Linked DNA regions of Nothobranchius furzeri. The protein of the gene in region 2 interacts with the protein of the main gene of each other region in a pairwise test. Links are inferred from orthologs where the notes say so. Each region holds a gene or a part of one and is shown on either strand. Other genes may lie near its edges.

Region 1 (7,546 bases), about 39 Mb from region 2:
TCTGCTATAGTATGTCGCTTCTTGAAGAGCCACTGCTTTTTTATCGTAAAGATCTCAATCGGGTTTTATGCAAATGAGTTCATACCGAGGAAAAGAATCCGAGGAATGTATCCACCGTCTGGGCTGAAGGCTTCATCCTTGGGCTCCTCTTCATCCTGTCATAAACAGTTACAACTTTAACTACCTGATGCATGACTGCTGCTTTAAGGAAAATGAAAACAAAATTAAACCAATTGCTGTTTCTCACCTCCACATTCACCATTACAAAGTTGTGTGCCAGTTCAGAGATTTCCTTGGATTCAGCAAATTTGGGCTTCAGGGCTGATTTGTAACAAATAAGAAAAGAAAGTTATTTAAAAATGTGACTCTTCTTATCTCTACTTGATAGTTTTAGAGTAAAAACTTTGAACATTCTGAAAAGAAGCCTTTCACAGAGCGAAAGCCGGTATGGGCCATTGCCTTCCTTGTTTTTGAGGAAAATCTGAGCTAAATGACAACTTCCTGGAAGTACTTCTGTGTTTTGGGATTGGCAAAAAAAAAAACTAAAACCAGATGGAAGTAACTCCAAGATCAAACGCCTCACAAGTCGGACCAACTTCACTGTTGCTTGTATTATTTATGAGTGCCAGTGGACACCAGAGTTTTGTCTGGCATTCCCAGAAAAAGAAACAGTAAGTAAATACCTTTGCAGGCTCCACACCAGCTCTTGTGGATGATGAGCATGATCGGCAGCCCGCTGTCAATTCACCAACATGGACACATGCATCAAAGTCAGTCAGAACAGTAAATATACAACGTAGACTTTCTTTATATAAACCGGAAATGCAAGATTTTTAAAAGGAAGGGAGTTGGGACCCAAATGAAAATGTTTCTTGTTCCTCCAGATAATATTTACACAAGAGGCTTCAAACAGGAAGCTACCTGGCTTCAGCTTCCTTCTTCCCATCTTCCAGCGTCCTCCAGTGGATATTGTCCCCAAATCCTGCAGGGTTCATGAGCACAACAGCATTGTGTAACTGGAGTTAAATTTCCACACAAGGGTGGGTCTGGCCTAAATACAGAATCAATACAAAGAACTGGGACAAATAACTAATATAACTGGTATGTTATGTTAAGGCTAAACTTTTAAGTAAAATAAAATCAATTATTTTAAGAATTGAACGAGAAACTTAATGGTTACTTTCTGTTTTGGTGGAGATAATTATTAATTTAATCAAATTGAATCGGAATTAAACAATACAGGTTTAACAGACCTAAAGTATTGTTTTATTTTTGCTTTAAGTCAAATGAGGTGTTTGTAGAAGAAGAAGTATCATTTCTATAGCGCCTCTCAAGATAAAAATCACGAGGCGCTTCACAAAAACAAAAAATGTAAAAATATAAAAAATAATTTAGAAAATGTTTAAAAATATATTTAAAATGAGCAAAAAATAGACAATTGTGATTAAAAAATGTAAAGAAAGAAAGAAAGTGAACAGGAAAGAGGGGAATCAGTGGACGAGGAAGGTGAAATAGGTAGGGAGAGCAGAATAAAGAGAGTGGTGAAGAAGAAGTTATACAAAAGCCAGCTTGAACAGGTGAGTTTGAAAGCTGCTTTTTAAAGGAGACCACTGAGTCCACTGATCTCAGGCTCAGGGGGTAGTCTTGTAGAATTAACTTTTTCGTGTAAGATTTATTAAAATGCATAAAATACATTTTCAAGAAATAAAGCATGAGTGTCTGGAAGTGAAACAAGTTAGTGACACTAGACACAACACGCCTGTTTATTAGTCTTCAAGGACGCACACAATGTGATCCGGGATGCTGACAAAGAACAGCAGCTCTCATTTCTACCACACTTTCAATGAAGCTGCTCCAGCCTGCTTAAAAAACTTATTTTCTCCTATATATGAACTCACCTCTCCCACTGGCGGCTTCCGCAACCACATCAAAACACGAAAAAGACAATAAAACCTGGAAAAAGGAGAAAGCAGCGACATTTACTACAGACAGTTGCATGTTTATTGCCTTTCTTTCCCACAACTGCGGCTAGCAGGCAATGGTAGTAATGGAAAGCTCAATAGTCAGTGACCCGGATGTGCAACCGCAACATTTCACAATAAAGGTTTTGTCTCGGAATAAAAATCTTAACAGCGCGCATGCTAGCCATGGTAGCGCGCGCGTGTGTCTCGCTTGCTATTGGCCACCAGCTTTTTTTTTTCCCATTTAGAGACGCGTTCACGTGACATTACATCTACACAACCGCGTGCTCTTCAATGCAGTGTTATGTCAAGCTAGACAAACAATGTTGGTATAAAACCGGAAATGACGACGAAAATTGCAAAAAATAAGTTAACCAAAGGAAAGCAGAAAGTTGTAAGTAATTAAGTTTTTGTTATTAAATCTTTGCTATGTATATATTAAATTTATTTCGTTAGTAAAATAGCATTTTTCCCCAAATTTGTGTAAAGTAATTACAATTTCTGCACGTGGATGAGATTTATTTGGCAAAATAATCACCGGAAGTTGTATGTTAGACTACTAATTTGACTGGTGTCTAATCCGTCTTGCTCCGTTCCTAGCAAACACAGTTCAACGGGCTGTTAATTCACAATCAGAGGTAAATATACCGTTTAAATTAGCGCTAAATATTTTATTTGATGTTGTGAAAGCCGTATCTTTTGGTGTGGCTCAGGCTTTAAATAGATAGTCAAAGTTATTTCACGGCATTATTTTACCGTTAGCGTTAGCTCAGTCTACCTCGATATTTCTCAACTAGCTAGCTTCAGTTAAGCACCAACGTAAGTTTAAAATAACTCATTAATTAATTAAATTAATTTCTTTATTTTGCTTTGTTTAAATTAATTTCTTTGATTTGATGGGGTTCATGTGAGTAAAAATGCTAACTGGCTTGTCTAAATTCTGCTAACCTGCTGCTAAGGTGTGAAGAAAGGGCTCTTGCCCAACACACTGCTTAGCTAGCATTCTTGTGTCTGAACGGCTAGCTGGTTGGGCGGTGTAAACTTGTATATTTGGGTTTTTAACGAGGATTTAATTTTTATTTTATTTGTTTTATTAAACCAACAGAACATTATGAATCAAGAGAAGCTGGCCAAACTTCAAGCTCAGGTCCGGATAGGAGGAAAGGTACAATTTAAAGCTTGACTTTTTGTTGTAGTTCCAGATGTGATGACAAATGTTTAGTAGTACTTGATTAAAATTAGTCGGACATTTTATTTTAAGAAGTTTAAAGGTATTTGGAGTCGGCCAAATCTTTTCTACTGACTTCAGCATTCTCTTTGTTAGGTGAAGCTCTGGCCCCTGCATCTGTGACCTTTGTGGCTTTGTGGCATTAACCGTCAGGTCTTCAGCCACACACTAGATGGCATTATTTTTAATTTTGTTGGGAAAAGTTCTTCCGGCTCCAGCAGCCACATAACATTTTCTACAATAAAAAAAATACTATCAATTAAAAATATAGTCCTTCCCTGGCCTTCCTTTTGCGACTAATGTCCTTATTGTTATTAATTTCTACATTAAATACGTGAAACCGTGTAAAAATCAGGGTAGTGCAGAGAGCTTTGAAGGGGCGAGCGCTCAAAGTTAAAAAGGGGGCACTTATAGAACAAAACTTTTAAACAGATTCATGATCCAACAAGTTTCAAGATTCAGATATTCAGAAATGAACGAAATTGAACTACAGAACCTCTGCACGGACAAAACGTCAAAAACACTAAATCAAAATACTTCAATAAATGGGACACATCCTGGCTGCAAAGCATTGCACCTTAAAATACAAAATTTTGTTTTTACTTGTGTTTATGTAGACAGATAAACTTGTTATGATATGTAGATAAATATGTAGATACATAAACTTGTTTATATTCAGTACAAGTTACATAGATTTTTTTCTTTGCTTCCGTTTGTTGAAAAATGAGAAAAGCCCCTTGAGAAAATAATCGTGAATTAAATCGCAATTGCAATATTGAAGAAAAAAATCGCTATTAGATTATTTTCCAAAATCGTTCAGCCCTAGAAGGATACAAATTTCTATCTCAGCCAGCTGGGGGTGTTGTCAGTTGTGCTCGGTTTGCAGAGTCTGCGCCAGCTAATGCTGCAGCGCAGGTACTGAGATACATATCAGAGCAGCATATATGCAATTGATGCACATTCGTGCACACGCACATTCATCTAAACCTCCGCTATGTTCTGAAGAGCTATCAGTTCAGCATACAGATGGCAAAGTCACACTGTTGTTAAAAACAAACTGTATGATCCGACTGGTAAAATGAGCATATTAGTGTGTCATACGATTGATAAAACAAAATGTGTGGTGATCTGATGGCTAAAATGGCTTATTAGGATGTCATGCAGTTACTAAAACAAAGCTTATGTTGATCAGACTGATAGGACCATCCATCAGTGTCATGCAGTTGTTCTACACAAAGTATATGATGATCTGATGGGTAAACTGGCACATCAAAGTGCCATACAGCTCAAAAAAGGCATGATTTGACAGACGTGTTGTCAGGTGGGCATATGCTGGGGTTGAGCAATATATCAAAAATGTATCGTTATTGAACTGTCTGACACTAGTTGATATTGTTTTTTCCATGTAAATGAATTTGATAACAAAAAAAATGAAAAGATGTGTGTAGGTTGGCCACGTTCATGTCCCTTTAAGAAGCTGTACCACCTCGAGTCATGTGACGTGACTCGCATAATACACGTGACAGCCCCCATCTAGTGGACAACTTTCTGTGTATACATGTAGTTATCGTCCATTTATCGAGGTGAACGCCTCACTATACTGTGATATTGATTTTAGGCCACATCGTCTAACTCATTATGCTGGAATATACACATATATTTTGAAGAATGGGGAAAAGCTGTGCTTTAAGAGCAAGTCACCACCAAATCAACTTCTTTTTTGCTGATAAAATATATAAATGAGTGTCTAACCATGCTGTAGACATGTGTAGTCAATAATTTGGCACTTTAGTGCATTTTCATTCATTTAAATATTCTGCCTGAAACTGTCAGTGTTGCGCTGTCGTCAGGTAAAAACTCTGCACTACATTTGATTTTAAATCTGCTATTGCTACTGGCTAAGAGGTACACAATGACATTAGCTGGTACCATATGATGTCACAATGCTGTTGGGAGCATGTTTGTGTGCATTTGTTTGCAGCTCCGCCCTCTTGTCTGTCAGGCAACAGCATTTGTTGCATTTTTCACACATGAAGTGGGAGTAAGTTTGTTTCTTGTAGGGGGTGACTTGGTCTTTAAAAAAGCTTTTATGCCCAAATTATATATGAAAAATCTGTGTGGCAATCTTAAGGGAGACTGTGGTTTTAGCTAAATGCAGAATTTATCAGTTTTTGCCATTTTATGAGTTAAATGAACCATTCTTACAACATGTAATGTGATGTCAGAAATGTATGACTGAGAATCTTAATCACACCGGATATGGAAACCTGTTAGATTTAATGTCCTGGTTCAGTATGCATTTGATCTCCTCCTAGGGGACCGCACGCAGGAAGAAAAAGGTTGTTCACAAAACGGCGACAGCTGATGACAAAAAGCTGCAGGGCTCGCTGAAGAAACTGGCAGTGAACAACATTGCTGGGATAGAAGAGGTGAGACATCAAAGGAACATGGATGACACCATCGTGGTTTTTTAAATATATTTTTGTCTTTGAAAGTTGAATCTTTTATCAGTGATGTGCCATGAGGCATAAAACAGGATGGAAGCCTGAGTTAAGGGTTCTCCCCAAGATCTGGCTTATTTTTAGAAAGCTCTCAGCGGCTACACCTACCTCAAAATGTTTGAGAATACAAACAAAAAAAAAAACATACAGATGTGGGATTTTTGCATTGACTTCTCTCATCCATCCCGTTTTCCCCACCCTTAAAGGTGAATATGATAAAAGACGATGGGACGGTAATTCACTTCAACAACCCCAAAGTTCAGGCGTCTCTGTCTGCCAACACCTTTGCCATCACGGGCCACGCTGAGACCAAACAGCTGACGGAGATGCTGCCGGGCATCCTGAGCCAGCTGGGAGCTGACAGCCTCAGCAGTCTGCGCAAGCTGGCCGAGCAGTTCCCTCGACAATGTGAGCACACGCAAACCGCATGTGAACTGTGTCAAATTTCAGCTTTGAAGTCACTCAGGAGGATTTTCTGTCAAATGAACGACTGAAAGCAAAAGCTTTATCACCACCTGTAGGACTGGAAAGAAATGGTAAACCCATAAGTTGTAAACAGTTGCAGATGACCCAGAATTGGCCTCACAGCCAGTTTTCTACACACAGGAGCCATGTTGGATCATTAGTACTGTTGAATGTGAGTCAGGGACCCACCCTGTCCTGCCGGTCATTGACTTACTCAACCTAGACATGGAGGCTTTTCCTGTTTAACAGGAATCGCGTCTTCTCTGCTGTCCCCCGATGTGTCTCTGAAGACACGTGGACATCTGAGTCCTGACCCGAGGAACCGGTTCTTGTTAGTTTGTGATAAGTGTACTGTTACTCTTTCACGGTTAAATAAAAAAACACGTGAATTTAAATCAATTGGACACAAAATATATATATATACATTTGATGCGATATGCATTTGGATTACTTACATTACTTTGATCTTAATTCCCACTTTTGAAGAGCGCTTGAGGGCTTAAACGTTCTCCTGTGACATTTATTAAACTCCCACCTTGCTGACACACATCTGTGTCAGACATTAGCATCTGTTCTTTGTCGAATTTGCTTAAAACAAACTGAATATTCAGCATGTTTCTGTGCAGTTGAGCAGATTTTCTGTGACATGTTTTGTTTTTGAGTGACTGGAGGACAGGAGGAAAAGTACCGTGACCTCAGCAAACCTGCACCAATAAATGAAGACACCGATTTTAGGAACTCTAGTGAAAAAAGGGAACATTCTGGAGTCATTGTGGGTCATAGAGGTCTGGATGATTCTCATAGAAATGGTTCAGGTTTTATGTTAAGAAAAGCAAACGTGTAGAGAAAATTGGGCCTTTTGCATCCTTAAAGATTAAAACAAAACATTTTAGGTTTTGATAATAAAGTCATTTTTAGGTTTTGACTTTTAACATTGGCATTTGTTTCAACAGCCATGGAAATGAAAGCTGTCAAAGAGGAAAATGCAGAAGAAGAGGATGACGATGTACCAGGTAGAGATGCATAATTACTTTAATTTTGTGGAAAAATATCACAATTTTTACTTTTCCCTAATTGTATTGTAATGTATTTTTAATCACTTTTAAATAATTAGAATTTTTAAGGTTTTGTTTTTTAAGTGCCTTGGGATTTTTATCTTGAGAGGTGCTGTATAAAAGATTGTTTCTTCTTTTCTAATTGTGTAAATTATCATTTTGATTCCTTTATACCTGGTTTACATACAAAATAAAACTATTCTGTCCATTTATATGTTAAAGTCCCCTTAAATGGGTACATTTATATTATGTTTCATATGATTGGAATTAAATGAAGTTTTGAATAAAACAATGTTTGTTTTCAGTAAAAACACTAATTTATTTCTTTTTTGCCTC
Region 2 (7,599 bases):
CACGCATCCTCCAGGACCCCCCTAAGGGTATAGAGCTGGTCCAGTGTTCCACGGCCAGAACGAAAACCACATTGCTCCTCCTGAATCTGAGGATCAACAATCCGACGGACCCTCCTCTCCAGAACCCCTGAATAGACCTTAGCAGGAAGGCTCAGGAGTGTGATCCTCCTGTAGTTGGAACACACCCTGCGGTCCCCATTTTTAAATAAGGGAACCACCACCCCAGTCTGCCAGTCCAGTGGAACTGCCCCCGATGTCCACACGATATCAGCCAACATAGCCCCACAACATCCAGAGCCTTAAGGAACTCGGAGCGGATCTCATCCACCCCTGGGGCCTTGCCACAGAGGAGCCTTTTAACCACCTCAGTGACCTCAGCACCAGAGATTTGAGAGCCCAACTCAAAGTCCCCAGACTCTGCTTCCTCGCTGGAAGACGTGTCGGTGGGATTGAGGAGGTCTTCGAAGTATTCTGCCCACTGATCCACAACGTCCTGAGTAGAGGTCAGCAGCACACCGTCCCCACTATAAATAGTGTTGGTAGTGCGCTGTTTTCAACCCCTGAGGCGCCGGATGGTGTACCAGAATCTCCTCGAAGCTGTACGGAAGTCTTGCTCCATGGTCTCACCGAACTCCTCCCACACCCGGGTTTTTGCCTTGGTGCCTGGTGTCCACCAGCGGGTTCGGGGGTTGCCACTACGACAGGCACCGACGATCCTGCGACCACAGCTCTAGTTGGCCGCCTTAACAATGGAAGCACGGAACAGGGTCCATTCAGACTCAAGGTCCCCCGCCTCCCCCGGAACATTTTGGAAGTTAGGAGGTGGGAATTGAAGCTCCTTCTGACAGGCGTTCCCAGCAGACCCTTGCAATACGTTTTGGCCTGCCTAGTCTTACCGGCATCCTCCCCCACCATCTGAGCCAACTCACCACCAGGTAGTGGTCAGTAGACAGCTCGGCCCCTCTCTTCACCCGAGTCAGATGAAACAACAACAAAGTCGATCATCGAGCTGCGGCCTAAGGTATCCTGTGCCAAGAGCACATATGGACACCTTTATGTCTGAACATGGTGTTCATTATGGACAATCCACAGAAGTCTAATAACAAAACACCACTCGAATTCAGATCAGGGGGGCTGTTCCTCCCAACCACACCTCTCCAGGTCTCACTGTCGTTGCCCACATGAGCGTTAAAGTCCCCCAGCAGAACGAGGGAGTCACCGGAAGGAGCACTCTCCAGCACCCCCTCCAAGGTCTCCAAAAAGGGTGGGTAGTCTAAACTGTAGTTTGGTGCATAAGCACAGACCACAGTCAGAACCCGTCCCCCCACACGTAGGCGGAGGGAGGCTACCCTCTCAGTCACCGGGGTAAACCCCAACGTACAGGCACCAAGATGGGGGCAACTAGTATGCCCACCCCTGCTCGGCGCCTCTCAGTGGGAGCAACTCCAGAGTGGTAGAGTGCCCAGCCCCTCTCAAGGAAACTGGTTCCAGAGCCAGAGCCATACGTTGAGGTGAGTCAGACTATAGCTAGTCGGAATCTCTCAACCTCACACACCAACTCAGGCTCCTTCCCCACCAGAGGTGACATTCCTTGTGCCAAGAGCCAGCTTCTGTAGCCGGGGATCAGACCGCCAAGGTCCCAGCCCTCGTCTGCCACCCGTCACACACTGCACCTGACCCCTTTGGCCCCTCCCACGAGTGGTGAGCCCATGGGAAGGGGAACCCACGTTTCCTCATCGGGCTGTGCCCGGCCGGGCTCCATGGGTGAAAACCCGGCCAGCAGGCGCTCGCCTACGTGGCCCACCTCTAGGCTTGGCTCCAGAGGGGGGCCCCAGTGACCCACGTCCGGGCGAGGGAACACGGTTTCCATTTATTTTATTCATCATAAGAGGTCTTTGGGCTGCTCTTTGTCCGATCCCTCACCTAGGACCTGTTTGCCATGGGTAACCCTACCAGAGGCATAAAGCCTCATTTAGCTCCTAGGATCATTGGGACACTCAAACCCCTCCACCACGGTAAGGTGGCAGCCCAGGGAGGAAGAGGGAACTACATTTATAAAATTTCAGTAGTTAGTACAAACACTTGCTGTAATTTTTTCTAAATAAAATGCATTTTTGTTAGTAGGTGAACTTGCTGTTTACTATTATTAAACCTTAAATTTTATATTAGCATAGGCCACATGTAAACCATAGTCTTACTAATTTACAAGACAGCTGTTCTGCAATGACAATAAATGTTTAATTGGTTTTTACCAGTTTTATCACTTTCTTGCTAGTATTTTTTTTTACATAGCAGAAAGAAGTTGGTGGCGGTAATGCACCATATCACCATTTGAAACCACCATTGAAAAGTCAAAGAAGAAGAATCAAAGTTATGACCGGAAGTTGTTTTTTTTTTCTAAGCCAGTCAGCTACACGCTGTTCAAGAAACCTGCAGCTCAGAAAAATTAGCCGTTTCCTCCTGGAGTCTTCAGGTAAACAAGTCTGTGTTAACCGTAGAGTCAGGGGAATGAGGTAACGTTTCGCGTCGCCATAGCTTTAGTAGTTTTCTGTTTTTTCTTTTATGGTACAAAGTAACACCGGTTGGGTGAAAGTAGTTCAAGACAATTTTAGCTGCGTGCGTAACTGCTAACGAGGGCTAGCCTGTGCCAGCTAATGTAATCTGGAAGCTAATGGAAACTGAAAATGGTCCGAAGTGAAAGTACACATTTGTTTTCCGTTTTGTACATAAACGCCATGTCTATGTATCCAGAAACGTGCTAATATTTTCGATTTTATGCGTGATTTTAAAGAACTTTATCGTCTGAACAGTTGGTGTATTTTATTGTCAAAGCCTTATTTAGACTCAGCGTTAGTTTCGTCTTTTATTCAAAGAGCTAAACATGAAAAATCAAGACACGGAAGAGTCTACCAGCCCGGGCAGCGAGGCTCCTCCACCTGCAGCTGGAGACACGGACGCTCCACTTCCACCTGCACCTGCTGAAGGCAGCAGCCCCAGAGAGATGGAGCCACAGGCTGGCCCTCCACCACAGGAACAGCAGGGGGAAAGCGGAGGTGAACTGCCTTTGGTTTGACTTTCTTACTCGTCCGTCACACTGTGTGAATTCTCAGTTTTAGAACAAATTAGATGAAACAGCACAAACCTAATTAATGGTTTGGTTGTCATCAGACTGAAGTGGAGAATCTTGTCAGTAATACCTGATGTCATCTGGTTTCAAGATTAACATACTAGAAGTCAAACTTTTATTGATGCAATCAAAGCTTTACTTGTACAATAAAATGGTCTTCATTCTTCACGTGTACTCAATCCATACATATCTAGATTATGTCATTTTTATTGTTATATGTCCTGATGCTGCCGACAAGTTATTTTATGCACTGATGTCATTAAACACAATCACACAGTTTAATAAACAAGAGTTTTTAAGGTTAAGAGATCCATAATAAATTAGTTTTGGGGTATTTTCTCATTACTGTAACGTTGTGTCAAGAACAAACTTACTTCAACATTTAAATAAAAGTAGGCCATCACGTCCTTGATGATATTGTGATAATTGTTTTAATGCCTCAAGTGCGATTCCTTTTAGAAGGCACATCATAAACAAATGAATCCCAACAGTTTTCCGCGTGACTGTGTGGGACACATACCATACCATACCATATTTATTTATTTATAAAGCACCATTTCAAAATAGCATGGCAGCTAACCAAAGTGCTGTACATAAAAAAAGCCAAATGCTTGACCAAGAACCACAATAAGAACAGGCAAAAAACATAAGAACAAAGCATAAATAGTCGGAGATAAAAATTCCTACTAAAAACCATAAAATAGAACAGTTAACAGCACTATAAAAATAAAATAATGCGACGAATAATAAAAACATTTGAAATGTCCCAAATAAACCGAAATAAAATACCAGATGGTGCGAGGTGCCAAAAGTGAGCAACTAAATCATAAAAATGGAATTAAAAACTCAAATCCGGTGCTAGATTGTCATGAAAAGTGTCACGGAGGCAAGGCAATGCTAAAGAAGTGCGTTTTCAGGGCCGACTTGAAACTGCTAACAGAGGGAGCCAGACGCACACGGAGGGGCAGGGAGTTCCAGAGTTTTGGGCTGAATAAGAGAAGGCACGCTCCCCCCGTGATTTGTACCAAACCTTCGGAACAACAAGCAGCAGATGATCTGCTGACCGAAGGGCACGGGTGGGAACATATGGGGTCAGCAGGTCCATCAGATAGGATGGGGATGGGCAGTACAAAGCCTTGTAAACATATAACAGGACCTTGAAGTTAATCCTAAATTAGACTGGGAGCCAGTGTAAATCTGCGAGGATGGGTGTGATGTGCATGCGTCTGTCGGTGTTGGTTAAAAATCTGGCCGCGGCATTTTGAACCTTCTGCAGTTTGCTTAAGGCTGAAGCATTAATCCCAATCAGGACAGAATTTGCGTAATCCAGACGTGAAGTAATGAAAGCATGAATGACTGACTCAAGATGCGGGCGTTTGAGGATTGACTTAAGACGAGTGATGCGGCGGAGTTGGAAAAAGCAGGACTTGACAGTAGCGTTGACTTGTGAAGACATTGAAAGGTCAGAGTCCAGTGTCACACCTAGGCTAGTGGCACCTGATTTGAGATTGAGTGGGAGAGTTGAGACATCTAAAGCACCATTCATGTTAGTGGGGCTAAAAAGTATGGCATCTGATTTGCTGTCATTTAACCGTAGGCAGTTTTGAGAAAGCCAGGATCTGACCTGGGAGAGGCATTCTGACATTATAGAAAATGAGTGCTGTTGGTTGATTTGAAGGTAGATCTGGCAATCATCTGCATAAAAGTGGTAGTTAACCCCGACGAGACTTGCTAAAATCTTACCAAGTGCTAGTATGTAAATTGAAAAGAGGAGAGGACCCAGGATGGAGCCCTGTGGTACTCCCCATGGAAGTGGGACATTGGGAGAAGAGCAGTCTCTAACATGAACACTAAAACACCGACCATTAAGGTACGACTTAAACCATTCCAGGGCAGTACCGGTCACACCCACCCAAAATTGGAGTCTGTGAAGTAGGATGCTGCGGTCAGGTCGAGTAAGAGTAACCGCACATGGGAGCCAGAGTCAGTCAGAATCAGGATGTCATTGAGTACCTGAATGTGTGCAGACTCTGTGCTGTAATTACGTCTAAAACCTGACTGGAATGGGTCAAGAAGCCCACTGTCATCTAGGTGAGAAGTAAGCTGCGTGAGAGCCAGTTTCTCAACTACTTTTGAGATGAATGGAAGTTTTGAGATTGGGCGATAACTGGCACAGTCAGACTGGTCAAGGCCTGGTTTCTTCAGTAGCGGCTGAACAACGGCATTTTTAAAAGCAGCTGGAAACACACCAGAGGAGAAGCTGGAATTGACACAACAGCAGGGGCCACCGCTGGAAGGACATCGCGCAGCAGTCTTGGAGGAAGGCTGTCCTCTGGAGAGCCTGAGGGCTTCATAGCCAAGATTAGATCAACCAGGGAAGAGGGTGTCACATGAGCAAAGCAAGAGAATGAGGGCGGACAGTGAGGTTCCACACAGGTAACCCAGCCTGAGTAAGAGAAGCTGTTCTAATTTCCTGGATTTTATGCAGGAAAAAGTTTTGAAACTCATTGCAAAGAGCCCCTGTAGAGGGACAAGAGTTGGGAGATTCTCTAAGCGATAGTACAGAGGTGAGGACACTGTACAGTTTCTTCTGGTCGTTTTTATGCCTAGTGATTATATTTGCAAAATATCTGTTTCTAGCTGTGCGGACAGCTTTCTGATAGCGGGTCAAAGGATCCTTGAATGACTGGTAGGAGATTTGCAGCTTGTCCTTCCGCCACCGGCGTTCGCAGACCCTACATTGGCGTCTTAGGGCACGAGTCTCCTCATTGAGCCAAGGGTCTGCCACAGTTTTTTATGCCTGGATCTTAGAGGAGCGACTGCATTTAAAACAGTTGAGCAGGTAGAGTTGAAAGAGGTCAGCAGCTCCTACACAGGTGGAATCAGGTTGGGAAGTGCATAGAGTCACAGCTAGGCTAGATGCTAGTAGATTGGTGGTGAAAAGGGGAAATTATTCTTGTGAGGTGTTGATTATGTTGCCTAGTGGATGGAGGTGTCAAGCCACAGATATTAAAAATAATAATAGAATGATCAGAGATACATGCAGAGTCAAAAGTCAGATCCGAGATACAGATCCCAAATGACAAAACCAAGTCTAAAACGTGCGATCCTGAATGGGTGGGTGACTGGACCTGTTGCTGGAGACCAAAACAATCTAAAATGTCTAAAAAGCCACCAACAAGAGGTTTGTCAGGGCAGCAAACATGTATATTAAAATCACCAAGCATAATCCCACGGTCATATTTTGGAAGAAAGTCTGTTAAAAGATCAGAAAATTCCGATAGAAAGTTGGAATTGTAGTTCGGTGGGCGACAGCAGAGAATAAACAGCAGCGGAGGACTGAAGTCCACCTCATAAGCCATAATAGTAAGTTTTTTAGTCACAAACTAAATCCCCTTTCATGCAACGTGTTCCAGGAAGTTTCTGAAATCCTATTTGAATGTTTTTCTGGTAGAAACTCTGCCTGGGTCAGCGTTAGCGCCCCCGGCTGCAGCAGCGCCCCTGTCCCAGCGCGACATGGCTGAGGAGCTGAGCCGGCAGCTGGAGGACATCCTCAGCACGTACTGCAGTGAAACCATTTCAGACGAAGCCAGTGCCTTGCTCAACGGTCAGTCTCACAGCCCAGTTTTCAACGGGCTGATGTGTGAGAAGGATGGAGACAACCCAAAGGCAGAAAAAGTCAACGGGGGTCACAGCGGTGCTGAGAAAGAGCAGAAGAAGAGTCAAGACAAGAAGAAAGTGAAGGGCCTGGGTGAGGAACTGAACTGTGTTAAATGTTCTGTAGGCCCGTTATTTTCCTTCACCTAACAGCTTCTGTTGTCTTGATCCAATCAGGCAAAGAGATCACCGTTCTCATGCAGACGTTAAACACGCTAAGCACGCCGGAGGAAAAGCTGGCAGGTCTCTGCAAGAAGTACGCCGACCTGGTGAGTACGCTTCTGTCCTGTGTGCGTCTCCGTGCTGCATTTCTGCTGTCAAGTGCAACTGACAGCAGGTTCACCACAACTTGTACCATCTTGTACGTGATCCTCGCTGTTCTAAAGGAAGAAGCCATGTTTGACCGCATGTGTAATGTTCTCAGCTGGAAGAGCATCGTAACTCTCAGAAACAGATGAGGGTGCTGCAGAAGAAGCAGAGTCAGCTGGTGCAGGAGAAGGACAACCTGAGGAACGAACACAGCAAAGCCATCTTGGCCCGCAGCAAACTGGAGAGTCTCTGCAGGGAACTGCAGAGACACAACCGCACCCTCAAGGTAGCGAGTGCTCCACCTCTGTGCAGGTGCAGCTGCTGCGTGTCATGTTTACGTTTTCATGTCTGCAGCAGCTTTTTAAGCATTCTTCCCTTTTTTAAGTTGGTTCTCACCTCTGCAGGAAGAAGGAGTCCAGAGAACGCGGCTGGAGGAGGAGAAACGGAAGGAGGTGACGTCTCATTTCCAGTCGACGCTGAACGACATCCAGGCTCAGATGGAACAG

What was found.
Region 1: the proteins of txlna (region 2) and transcription factor BTF3 homolog 4 interact in binary tests that used the Homo sapiens proteins (3 or more experiments, as listed by UniProt). The two-hybrid records come from large-scale screens. The link is inferred for Nothobranchius furzeri from reciprocal best matches to the Homo sapiens genes TXLNA and BTF3L4.

What each region holds. Positions count from the first base shown.
Region 1 is NC_091751.1:41,997,581-42,005,126, forward strand, and holds the start of transcription factor BTF3 homolog 4, read left to right. Parts: upstream 1-2,361; 5' UTR 2,362-2,599; intron 2,600-3,066; 5' UTR 3,067-3,072; coding exon 3,073-3,126; intron 3,127-5,504; coding exon 5,505-5,618; intron 5,619-5,896; coding exon 5,897-6,098; intron 6,099-7,108; coding exon 7,109-7,168; intron 7,169-7,546. Other genes in the region: txndc12 (thioredoxin domain-containing protein 12), read right to left, coding at 86-155, 248-321, 684-736, 922-982, 1,899-1,998.
Region 2 is NC_091751.1:3,229,791-3,237,389, forward strand, and holds the start of txlna (alpha-taxilin), read left to right. Parts: upstream 1-2,360; 5' UTR 2,361-2,373; coding exon 2,374-2,473; intron 2,474-2,873; coding exon 2,874-3,053; intron 3,054-6,581; coding exon 6,582-6,878; intron 6,879-6,961; coding exon 6,962-7,053; intron 7,054-7,208; coding exon 7,209-7,379; intron 7,380-7,497; coding exon 7,498-7,599. UniProt on the Homo sapiens protein: May be involved in intracellular vesicle traffic and potentially in calcium-dependent exocytosis in neuroendocrine cells.